2 linked regions of the Nothobranchius furzeri genome follow. The protein of the gene in region 1 interacts with the protein of each later gene in a pairwise test. Links are inferred from orthologs where the notes say so. Each region holds a gene or a part of one and is shown on either strand. Other genes may lie near its edges. The genes, in order: mos and sec24c.

Region 1 (6,423 bases):
CTTGTCATCGCCACTCTCCACGGTCTTCTGTTTGGCTGGAAAAGAGCTTTTGAAGAGGAGGCCTACCGTTTCTACCTGCCCCCTAGCTTTGTGGTGTCCTTGGCACTGCCGGTGTGTGTCATATTGGGGAAGGTTTTGACGTTGCTCCCCTGTGTGGCTTACAAGCTCCACCAGATCCGTAAAGGTCTGGATACCAACATGTACAAGTGCCAGCGACTGGAACCTGTTGGATCAGCTACTAATGTCTCACCTGAGAGAGTTACCATCATGTGATCGCTGCTTTACTGGATCTAAATTCTAGGCCATTTCTTGGTGGACACTAGTTTGTTTTAGCTTCAAGAATATTCTAGATTTACCTTTTTGGTGTTTTATCTGATGTGTTCTGTGTAGGATGTCAGAAACGTATCTTAAGTATCAGATCAGAGTTATTCATCCCTACCAGACTGGTATAGTGACTCAAAACACCACATAGTTATATTGGGTCAGAACACCACGTACAACTGCCTTCAGTCTGTTTTTAACAGCATTCATAAACCCTGTTTAGAAACGTTGGTGACTCCATCATTATCTGGTGTTTATGAATCCTGTTTGTGTGTAACTTTCATTCACAGTAGTGTTAACAGATAAAGAGCATTCACAAGCAGCAGACATGGTGTGAAACGGAGTTTATAAAACAGACATGGTGCTGTCTGTTAACAGCAATATTGAGACAAACTGTAACCTACACTGTGATCCCATACTCACAGGAACTGATCTGAATATTTTAATGTTGTGATGGTCTGTAGACTACTGGCAAATTAGAAAACAGAAATGTACATCTAAACCTGAGAGGCATCTCAAATGGCTTGAATTCATACTAAAACATCCTTTATAAATGTATCTGTATATTTTTTTCTTCACATTCAGCCAACGTATTAAAATGTATTGCGTTGTGTTTCATACAAGCTGTTTGCCCACCGAAGACTCTTATTTGACACACAGTTGAAGTCAGCCAGGGAAAAATGTTGTAAGGTATGGGTTAGGGAGGGTGGTGGAGTCGGTGAGCCCTGATCTATTCACTCATGGTACTGGAGGGCCACTGGCCTGCATGCTTTAGCCGTTCCCCTGCTCCAACACACCCGATTCAATGATTGAGTCACATCTTCAGTATGTCCTCTAGTTCTTCTAAAGCCTATTCATCACCCATTGAGTCCAGGTATGTTGGAGCAGGAAACATAGAAAACATGCAGGAGTGGCCTTGGGACCAGGGTTGAATAAACCTACTCTATCCCACCTGCATTCCTATTAAGGTCAGATGGAGTCCTGGTGTTCTTATTATTTATTTATTTTAATTTTCATTCGTTTTTCCCAGTTTCTTCACTAATCTAGACGCGGTGAGTCCTCCTGAGAGCATTCAAAAGGTCTTGATCCAAAGTTTGCCTCTTGCAGTCCCAGTGGGGTTTGATGGACAATGTGTGCGCTGTTTCAACTTTTGCATGCCTTTCTCGATGTTTGTTAACTAATCCTGTTGCAGCTGATCAGTGGTGGTTGTCATGTTTTTTCTTCTGTTTTTCAACCCAGCCACATTCCTAGCAGAGTCCAATGGACCCCACTTGTGTTTTTGTTATAGTTTTGAGGAGTGAGCACCACCTTACTCCTGCCACATGGAACCCCAAGGGATAAACCATCAACCCTGCTTAACCATCCTCTGTCGTGGAAGGGTCAGCCAATAGGACAGCAGGAGGGTTAAAGGTTAAACACACTAACATTTCTTGTTCTGGAAAGAGGAGGACAATGTGTCCCTCTGGCCCTCCCTGCTGCCAACATGTCCCAATGCACAGACATCAAGACAATATAGTGTCACTCACACACTACATGCGTTTTGTTTCCAACACCACTTGGAATACAGTGTGACCCCAAAGCGTGCACCAAGTTTTCAGTCTGATGTCACATGAAATGTGTCTATGGGCCAGCGGTGCCAGTGTCATTTTAGATTTTTTACTCTATATATCAACATCCCATAGAAACCTGTTTTATTGCTGATTTTGGTTAAAGAAAAAAATCCCATGAGATTTTTGATATGAACACATTTTAACCTCTTGAGTCCAAAATTTGGAAGACTGAAGCAGACAGCTGAAGTTTTATATGACATGGTCTGAACCCAGAGACTAAAGGCTGCTTTTATTAGGCTGTGAAGTTATTTTCTCTAGAGTATTTCATTTTATTCACATGTATAAAACAATCACATAAAATCATTCTTGCATTTAAATAGAAACCTATAGGGTGGGGGTGTATCCACAGCCCACGTGCACCCAGCAAGTCCACCACGAGCAGCAACCTGGAACCAAATTAAAACCAAACACGAAACCTTTAAAATGATTTTAATGAAATCAAACAAATCTTACAACATTTATTAAGCCAAGAATGAAAACTCAGAGTTCACCTGAGAGCCAGTGCTAGTCTGGGTTCTGTGGTTTGGACATTAAAACCCGCTGTGTGGACCCAGCTGCTGACCCAGATGTTCCAGCTGATCCAGCAGCTCAGAGGCGCTCGGTCTGAGGCGCGTGTCTGCGCTCCAGCAGCGTCCGAGCAGCGTTGCGCACAGCCGCCCCCAGTCGGACCTGAACACCGAGTGGCTCTGGACAGACGGGCGCAGACCGTGCGCCACCACCGAGTACATGATGTGCTGCCGGTCTCCGGTGTAGGGCGGCTCGCGGGTCAGCAGCTGCCACAATGTGATCCCGAACGAGAAGATGTCCACTTTGGAGGAGACCGGTTCTCCTCGGAGCAGCTCCGGGGCTCGGTGCGTGTAGGTTCCACACACGTGGCTCAAATAAGGACTGATGAGTTCGGGATCCCGGTCCAGTTTCAGGGAACAGCCGAAGTCCGCTATCTTGCACACTTCCGTCCGGGACACGAGCACGTTGGCCGGTTTGATGTCCAGGTGCACGACACCGTGGGAGTGCAGGAACCGCAACCCGTCCGCGATGTCCGCCGAGAACTTCAGAGAGCGGTTCGGCTCCAGCAGCTCCGAACTTCCGTAGATGATCTGCTGCAGGTTCCGGCTGCCCACGAACTCCATCAGGATGGTTCCGATGCTGTCCTCCACCTCAAAGTCTGCGGGCACGCACGTGGTGGCCGCGAGGACGCGCACGATGTTCTTGTGGGTCAGGTGCGCAGCGTTCAGTTCGGCCCAGAAACTTTGCCGAGACGCCAGCTGGTTCTTTGAGCTCTTCTTCACCTTCTTTAGAGCCACAGTCTCTCCCAGGTACTCCGCCTTATAGACGGAACCGAACCCACCAGAACCCACCGGCACCACGGAGCGCAGCTGGTCCCAGTGGATCACGGTGGACCAGAACCGGCTGGTGACTCTGCCGTGCGGCCGCTGAGCCGGGACCTGTAAGGTGGACCCACGTCCCGGTTGGGCCAGCGGGCTGCTGCAGGTTCCGATGTCCACGCACGGGTACAGGTCCTTGGGTAGGAGGCGCGTGACTGGGATGGGTGAAGGCATGCCGAGCGAGCGAACACAGGTGCGTCCACGTGCACAGGTGAGTTGCCGCGGTGCGTGACGGGATGCTGCAATGCATCATGGTTGGAACTCTTGTAGGTCCTCGAAGAGGGTCTAGAACCGCGGTCAGAACCGAACTGAGAGGAACCACAAATATTCCAGTTTTAAAAGGTTCTTGTTCTGATCATCAGACTGATGCATAAAAGCATGTCAAAGGTCATGAGCCCGACCTGCACGAGCTCTGGTGAAAACACCCAGGCTCAGTTCTTCACCTACAACAATAATAACAAAGAAACTGAGATATTCTGGAGGGTTCTACTGGAGAACATCTATTGAATTACCATCAATCAGATTAAACATCCATAAAACACCAGCCCACACACAGTCCTGTTGGTTCTGATCCAGAACCGAAACGTTTAGTGAAGAAGGAAGACCAGGAGAGAGTGTGTGTTAGATGTTTCTCTCTTTATTGAGTCTCACGACAGAATCAAAACACTGGAGTCTCATAGCAGCGAGGTGTGTGAGTGAAATCAGGTTATTCTGCAGAGCAATAAATAATCTGTTTCTTTGGATGAACTTCAAACAAAACAACAGCTGCAGCTTAATATCCATTTTATACAACCTCTACACATGTTTGTGATTTATATCGTCGATACGTAGAAAAATACAACAGTAGTTTGTGAAGTATAGAGAAAAGTTGAGATTTAAAAACCAACAGGCTTTGAAGCGGTTTCTGTCTGGGGAGGGGCGTTTCAGGCACGTCTGCAGAAGGACTTCAAAAGTCACAGTACAATAAAAAGACTTTATATAACTATATAAATATGGATGTATACAAACAGATGTAAGTATGTATTAGAAAGAACCGGAGCAAAGTACAAACATTGCATTTAAAGACCAGGAATGTCTGTAGCACCTTAAAGAGCTCCAGACTCACGTAGCAGCATTTCCAATCCTAATGCAGTGTTTCTAACCAACACATTCAGTAAGGTTGACCGGTACCGCTCAAGCTCACAGGCCTAGAACGGGTCTGGATCACCAGAACAGGGTTGGATTCAGTCCAGAGCTACAATCAGTTAGCATTACGGTTCTGAACATGTTCAGGAAACGTCTGTTAGTGAAAATGTCATTTGTTTCATTAGGTTCTAATGTGTAAAATGTCAGATGTGTGAGCAAAACCCACAGCGTTAAATAAATATAACGCTGTTGATCACCAGTGGGTGGGTTTACTCCAGGGGACCAATAGTTTTATTCAACCTAGAAAAATAAATGTTTAGATGCTTTTTCTCGTTAAAAAAAAACTCTTGATAAAGCAGAACTGTTGTGCAAGTAAAGCAAAAATTACACTCTGATAAGAAAACACTGCCAAAACGGTACCTGTAAAAATAAAACACTTTATATAGTATTTACATATAACTGTTCTCTACAATAGCTAAATATATCATCTATACATTTGTGGTAAGGGTTTAGAACAGAGGCTACTGGAGGAACTGAGGTGTTCTATTTACAAAAAGTGCTGCGATTTACAAACAACGCCAACGTGACCAAAGCTTACAGCGATCACACTCACCTATGACCTCCACCCAGATCCTGCCACTGGGAGCAAACGCGGCGGCAGAACCAGTCAGCTAGTGGGTCTGTTAGTCAGTATTATTGCTGTTGGGCTTCACCCTCCTTTTTTAACCATTCTCATCTTTTTTGCGTAAATCAGCTTTAATGGTCATCCTTCATTTCTATCGATGAGTCTGTTAACGACTTTTCTGTGAAAAGTGTCAAAGAGCCTGTGGCTAGTTCCATTTTTCGGGTTTAGAAGGAACAGGCTGTGGAACAGTAACGAGAGAAACGCCAGGTAACACTGTTTGGCTTGTAACAGTAAATCTGGAGGAGCATATCAGTTTAAAGAGCAAGTCACCCCCAAATCAACTATTTTTTTTATGATAAACTATATAAATGCGTGTCTAATTGAGCTGCAGACACGTGTAGTCAATAGTTTTGCACTTTAGTGCATTTTAGGTAAAATTTAAATTTTCTGCCTGAAACTGTCAGTGTTGTGCCGTTGTCAGGTAAAAACTCTTCACTACATTTGAATTTAAATCTGCCACCGCTATTGGGTAAGAGGTATGCTATGATGTAAACTGGTACATTATGATGTCACAATGTCGTGAGTGTGTGTATTTGTTAGTGGCTCCACCCTCTCGGTCTGCTAGGCAACAGCATTTGTTGCATTTTTCAAACATGAAGTGGGAGTGAAGTACGCTTCTTGTAAGGGGTGACTTGCTTTTTAAGCATTAGCCTAATAAAAAAGTGTTATTTCTAAAACATTCCACAGCTGTCTCACATATTCACCATGAATGTCCCACCCTAGCATGGTTGATCAGATGTTTTCTTATAGGTCAACCCTAACCCCTAACCCACACTCTGCACCCAGTTTTCTCAGCATTTAGTAAGTTTTTTATTGACAGTAGGGCAGGGCCATGAATCGAAAATTTATCATTATCGAAATTTCTGACTCTTATTGAGATTGTTTTCCCCATGTCAATAAATTTAATAATACAAATATGAAAAGATGTGTAGGTTGGCAACATTCATGTCTCTTTAAGAAGCGGTACCTTTTTGCATCACGTAAAAATGTGACTCAAGGTAATTCATGTGACAGCCCCATCTAGTGGACGACGTTTGTTTCTGCGCATACCTGTAGTTATCGTCCATTTATCTTTATCAAGGTGAAATCCTCAATATACTGTGATATTGATTTTAGGCTATATCGCCCAGCCCTAATTGACAGAGGTGGTTGTTTAACCTGTAAACATGTTTGCTAAAAACCAGCTAGCTTAGCCACAAGGCGCGCCAAGCTGGATTACACACTCTAAACTGTTAAAACACCACCACCAATGGCTCCGCCCTTGGTACGTGCCGGTAACACCTCCGGTGAAATGGAC
Region 2 (6,476 bases), on another chromosome or scaffold:
GAGGAGCCTGGGTGAAAGAGGGCTGAGGTGCAGACTGGTAGGAAGTACTGATGGGAGGCTGGGAGCTGTGAGGTGGAGCTGAACAGAGAGGAGAAAGTGTGTGTGAGTGTGTGTGTGCATGCCTCTGACATCATGTGTAAATGTAAACTCACACTCACCATATCCCAGCCCTGCAGGGGTTGGTGGTCCAGATGTGAGCTGCATCCCGCCCATCTGGTTGGTGACCTGTTGCATTGTGGGTGGAGGAGCGTAGTGTTGAGGGTAGGAAGGCTGCCCCCCTCCCAACCCATACGGCTGAGATCCAGCTGGCCTGCAAACACACCACAACTCAAAAAATCTGGTTTTGTGGTACCAAATCAGAGAAATCAGTTCTCCTCAGCTGGATTTGCCTCAAGAATAGCATTTCTTGGCAGAGTATGAAGCAAAACAGGTTTTTTTTATTTGCATGTACACCTGAGAGTGATGATGTCCTCTAACTGGAAGAAGTGAAACTGTGGCTGATAAAAAATGATCCTGTAGAAAGATCAGTTATTCATGACTCTAAATGCCACAGATGGAGAGAACATCAAGAGTTCATACTGGTGTGCTACAACAGCACACGAGACTTACACACCGGTTTAAATGTCTCACTTCCAAAGGAGCTCTGACCAGCTGCATGTGGACACGCTCACATTAACACCAATAAAGAAAAACACACTCATTTATAATTAATCTGCTACAACAGCCGTGGTAATGCTTTGATCCAAGTGCTTAATTTTCCTGGACCAAAGCCAGTCAAGACAATAATATGAGGATCTCACCTGGCTGATTCACAACACCTGATCCAGCGTTTTAAACTCTCACACAAACCCCTCCTGGAACCGATCCTCCAGGCTCATGCTGGGCATTTTAAGCGAGTTCCACTAAGTTTATTAAAATGCATTTGACCAAATTAATAGTTTTCTTTTTTAAGTATTTCCCATATCAGATAACCACAAGGCTTCATAACTGTCTGGTGTGTTTAAATGGCAGCTTGGGCAGGCTTCTGAATTTGAATTAATTCAAAGATCAAATTTACTCATATTATTATACATTTGCAGTGGTCTCTAAGTGGGATGAGTGCCTTGTAAGTTGGTCTCTGGGGAAACAAAAGCTCAGATGCTTCTGTTTGAAATCTAGTCAGTCAGTGGAGAAATTGGCAGCAGACGACAGGATTTGGAGTCTTATTTCTTGAATTTTGGACATATCGCCTCCGACTGTCTAACGGCAAAGTGAGTCCACCACTGACTCTGTTTGCTCTGCAATGTTGATGTTCTATCTCCACAAATAACACAATCCTGGTGGAGTTCTGCTGAGTGGTGGAGCTGCTAATGCTAACAGGTAATTTCTGCTAGTCGAGAGGTTCTCTTGTGTTTTATGGATGCTAAACCAACAACAGCCTTCCCCGTCAGGAGTCAAGATGGGTGAGTGTATGACAGTGTGATTCAGATCCGTCAGGCTTTTCAAATCTTAAGGGTAGAGGCCGACCGATAGGTTTTATTTTTTTATTTTTTTTAGCCAACACCGATACAGATTTTTCGAGAATTTTGTTGCTGATGACTGATAACTAAAGCCGATTACCGTATTTTCTGGACTATCGGTCGCACTTTTTTTTATAGTCGGCTGGTCCTACGACTTATATACCAAATTATGTATACTGCGCTGCTGCGGGCCGGCTCCGGACCTGGTTTCAGCTCCTCTGCCCCGCCATCACCTGCTGGAGCCTGTGGCGCGCCGCTGTGGGCCGGCTCTGACCCGGAAATGAGTTCCCCTGTCCCGCTGGGAGGGTTTCAAACACCGCCATCACCTGCTGCAGCCTGTGACGGGGTGCTGCGGGCCGGCTCCAGCCCAGGAATGAGCTCTCCCCACCCACTGGGAGGGTCTGAAACACCGCCATCCTCTGCTGGAGACCGTGGCGCGCTGCAGCACCCTGGATCCCCCACCCACCCACCCAGGCTGCAGCTCTCCCTCCCCGCTGCCAGTGGTGCACATCCAGGCATCCTCTGCTCCACACCTCAATGCCTCAATATTGCAACAGCTGGTTGTTTATTCTTTTATTGTTACCGGTACTTGTCTTGCAATGTGAAATGCTTGGTCTCAGATTTTGTAAGAAAAATAATAAAATTTCCCCCCAAAATGCGACTTATCGTCAGAACGTTGCGCTTTAAGATGATGTCAGCGCCAAAACTACCAAAACAACCAAAACAAAGAGTAGACTCACCTCTTACAACAAGAAGAATCCGCGCGTTTCAAGCATTATCTGTTCTTTCACAACCTGTTGTTGAATTGTGATCGGCAGAAGCTTTTCCGGTTCGCGCCTCACTTTTTTTTTTACAGCAGCGGCCCAAAACGATCTTCTAACACATGGATTTTCTGTTTCCTGATCACGTGATGCGTGGCGTACGCTTATGAAGATCGGCTTTAGAGCTGGGACGTTTGTTTTCACGGTGTGGGGGCTCGTTCTGATGCCCACACAGTAAAAAAATGCAAAGTCGTCATTGGTAGTAAATGAGTTAAACACCAAACTTAAAGGGATATTCCACTCAGAAGTAAAATTTTGTCTGTTGTTAGAGTTCCCAGTTAGAGAAGTCAGAAAAATGATTGTGTAGCCAACAAGCTCAGTTATTCTCCTGATCTGGAAGCAGTACGTTTTGTTTTAGCTTAGCATAAAACAATGTAAATTAAAAGAAGGTTCTAGCATGGCTCGCGGTGTGTTGGGGTCCTTCAGGTCCTTTCTTCAGTCTAGTAGAGGTGGCAGTTGGCCACACAGGTGCCTGATGTTAATTGATTAATCAGCCTTTAAAAATCATTTCGGCCGATGGCCAATAACAGAAATAGTTGAATATATCAGTTGGTCTCTATCCTAGAGTTTCACCATCTATTATCAGAAACTAATGCAGGAGATAGGTGTAGGAGACTATTTTCATGTTCAGCCTGCGTGAAAAACTTAGTTACTGATCATTTATAAGAATAATGAGTAAAAAATGGTTTCTCGGTAAATTTGCTCTTTTAAAAACACAACCATTCAAACTGAATTGTACCTGGGTGGCGCCTGTGTCATCGGTGGGGGTCCGTTCTGCATGTCTGCTGGACTGTGGCTGTACTGGTTGTACTGTTGAGGGGCTGAGACCGGAGGGGGTGCAGAGGTGGGAGGACCCCTAGCAGAACCTGATGAAAAGGATTATATGAAGCACAATAGAAAGAAATAGGATGAAACAGTTTTTATACATAAATCCACTAAATTTTACTAAATCAGAGCTTCGAGCTTAACAGCAAAATGCCAAAGACATTTTCAAATTACAACTAATAACATTCCAAGATTTGGCTTTTGGGGTCAGGAGCTGAGACTAGATCCAAAATCCGGGTCAGCTAAGATTGTCTGCCAATCGAGATGCAGTAAAATAAGAGAATATCACCTAATACTTTAGAGATGCTGCTTGTAACCAACAGAAACTAACTAAATCACCAGATCAATATCAACAAAACACTTGATCTAAATGCAGAGTGAAAATACACACAGCCACATGATCCACATACCAGAAACACATTTAATACATTTGGCTGAGGTAAACCACTGCTAAAGTAAACAATGAGGGCCAAAGGTCAGTCGTTCACAAGGAAAACAGGATGGGACGGTAAGATCCAAATGACCTGATGGTTACAGGAAGAGTGAAACCAAGCCCCCACAATGCGGCTCAGAAATTGGGTCTCAACCCGGAAGTACCAAAAATTGCAGTTGCACCCTCATCCGCTGGGGGCTGGTGTCAGAAGCGAGCAAATCCTCATTGACTCCCATGTTAAAAATACCAATTTCACAGCAGAAATAAACATGTTTACAGCCTGGTACCAAAACATGTTTTTGGTTTAAATGATCTAGTTTACACTCATGACATCTCTGAGGGGGGTGAATTTTTTTCTCACTCTTCTGTTTAAGTGTATTAAAAGCCTAAAATTCTGTATAATTAATGAGCATCAGACCCATGTGACCACAGAGCTAGCTCCGTGGAAAGGCCTCAGTAGAGCCTCGGTCTGGCTTGCAAACTGCTCCGGCATTTTGAGTCTCTGTGTTTGTGTATTCTGTTTTGGATATTTTTTGTGCAATTGTTGGACAAAATGACTTGCTGTGGCATTAATTGCACTAATAGAGCGTCCAAGGAGTCTCCACTTCATTTTTTACGGTAAGTAAAAATATATTTATGAATTTTAGGTCACTGCTGAGCTGAGCTTAGATTTTAACATGTACTGTTTAACCATGAAATTTAAATGTAAAAGGGTCAAACCCAGTGCATTTAACATAATGCTGCACTTTAGAAAATGGGTTGAAATATAACATGTTGGTGGAGCTGGGTTCCGACTATCGGCTTGTGGAGCTCTTGGGAGACCTCTGTTTTCCACCCGGTCCTCCCCTCCCCGCAGCTCGGTGCATCTATGTCTGATCGCGGCTTCTGTGTGCTGTGCGGGCTGACGGCTTGTGGAGCTCTGGGATGGAAACCTTTCCAACTGGTTCTCCCCAGCGGCAGCTCTGCGCATCTCAGATTGCAGCGGTGCTTGTCTGCTGTGCGGCTGCCGGCTTGTGGAGCTCTCGGAGACCTCTGTGTTCCACCCGGTTTTACCCAGCGGTCAGCCCGGCGTATCTCTGACTCAGAAGCTCTGGTGTTGTGCACAGTTAACTCCGGTTATAGCTAGGTTGCTGTCTCCGTTAGCTTAGCTCCCACCTCCGCATTAGCTTTGGGTTAGCTTCAGGTTAGCTTGTAGCTAGTTCGACCGGGTGTCGTCAGTTGATCCCAACCTTACAGCCCCACCCTCAGCTCCACCTCTCCTCCCTTTCATGGAATTGTCTGGGCTTGATGGAACCTGTGACACGGTCAAAATGGCGGTGGTGGCCACCTCCCATTTTAGTACAAAAACTTATTATTGGAGTCTATGGAAACCCATTCTCCATATACAGGTGCTGGCCAGTAAATTAGAATATCATCAAAAGGTTGAAAATATTTCAGTAATTCCATTCAAAACGTGAAACTTGTACATTATATTCATGCAATGCACACAGACCAATGTATTTCCGATGTTTATTACGTTTAATTTTGATATTTATAGGTGACAACCAATGAAAACATCAAATCTGGTATCTCAGAAAATTAGAATATTCTAAAGGCCAATGAAAAAATGTTTGTTTCTCTAATGTTGGCCAACTGAAAAGAATGAACATGAAAAGAATGTGCATGTATAGCACTCAATACTTAGTCGGGGCTCCTTTTGCCTCAATAACTGCAGTAATGCGGCGTGGCATGGACTCGATCAGTCTGTGGCACTGCTCAGGTGTTATGAGAGCCCAGGTTGCTCTGATAGTCGTCTTCAGCTCCTCTGCATTGTTGGGTCTAGCGTATTGCATCCTCCGCTTCACAATACCCCATAGATTTTCTATGGGGTTAAGGTCAGGCGAGTTTGCTGGCCAATCAAGGACAGGGATACCATGGTCCTTGAACCAGGTGCTGGTGGTTTTGGCACTGTGTGCAGGTGCCAAGTCCTGTTGAAAGGTGAAGTCTGCATCCCCATAAAGTTGGTCAGCAGCAGGAAGCATGAAGTGCTCTAAAACTTCCTGGTAGACGGCTGCATTGACCCTGGACCTCAGGAAACAGAGTGGGCCAACACCGGCAGATGACATGGCACCCCACACCATCACTGACGGTGGAAACTTTACACTGGACCTCATGCAACGTGGATTCTGTGCTTCTCCGCTCTTCCTCCAGACTCTGGGTCCTTGATTTCCAAAGGAAATGCAGAACTTGCTTTCATCAGAAAACATAACTTTGGACCACTCAGCATCAGTCCAGTCCTTTTTGTCCTTGGCCCAGGCGAGACGCTTCTTGCGCTGTTTCATGTTCAAGAGTGGCTTGACACACGGAATGCGACACCTGAATCCCATGTCTTTCATGAGTCTCCTCGTGGTGGTTCTTGAAGCGCTGACTCCAGCTGCAGTCCACTCTTTGTGGATCTCCCCCACATTTTTGAATGGGTTTGTCGTCACAATTCTCTGCAGGGTGCGGTTATCCCTAGAGCTTGTACACTTTTTTCTACCACATTTTTTCCGTCCCTTCGCCTGTCTGTTAATGTGCTTGGACACAGAGCTCTGCGAACAGCCAGCTTCTTTAGCAATCACCTTTTGTGTCTTGCCCTCCTTGTGCAAGGTGTCAATGATTGTCTTTTGGACAGCTGTTAAGTCAGAAGTCTTCCCCATGATTGTGGTGCCTTCAAAACAAGACTGAGGGACCTTTTAAAGGCCTTTGCAGGTGTTTTGAGTAAATCAGCTGATTAGAGTGGCAGCAGGTGTCTTCTATATTCAGCCTTTTCAGAATATTCTAATTTTTTGAGATACCAAATTTGGAGTTTTCATTAGTTGTCACTTATGAATATCAAATTTAAATGTAATGAACATTGGAAATACATTGGTCTGTGTG

The links.
Region 2: the proteins of mos (region 1) and sec24c interact in binary tests that used the Homo sapiens proteins (3 or more experiments, as listed by UniProt). The two-hybrid records come from large-scale screens. The link is inferred for Nothobranchius furzeri from reciprocal best matches to the Homo sapiens genes MOS and SEC24C.

What each region holds. Positions count from the first base shown.
Region 1 is NC_091747.1:36,175,552-36,181,974, reverse strand, and holds mos (proto-oncogene serine/threonine-protein kinase mos), read right to left. Parts: upstream 3,645-6,423; 5' UTR 3,491-3,644; coding exon 2,462-3,490; 3' UTR 2,423-2,461; intron 2,318-2,422; 3' UTR 2,141-2,317; downstream 1-2,140. Other genes in the region: metalloreductase STEAP2, read left to right, coding at 1-273.
Region 2 is NC_091756.1:44,413,887-44,420,362, reverse strand, and holds part of sec24c (protein transport protein Sec24C), read right to left. Parts: intron 3,187-6,476; coding exon 3,060-3,186; intron 311-3,059; coding exon 159-310; intron 79-158; coding exon 1-78. UniProt on the Homo sapiens protein: Component of the coat protein complex II (COPII) which promotes the formation of transport vesicles from the endoplasmic reticulum (ER).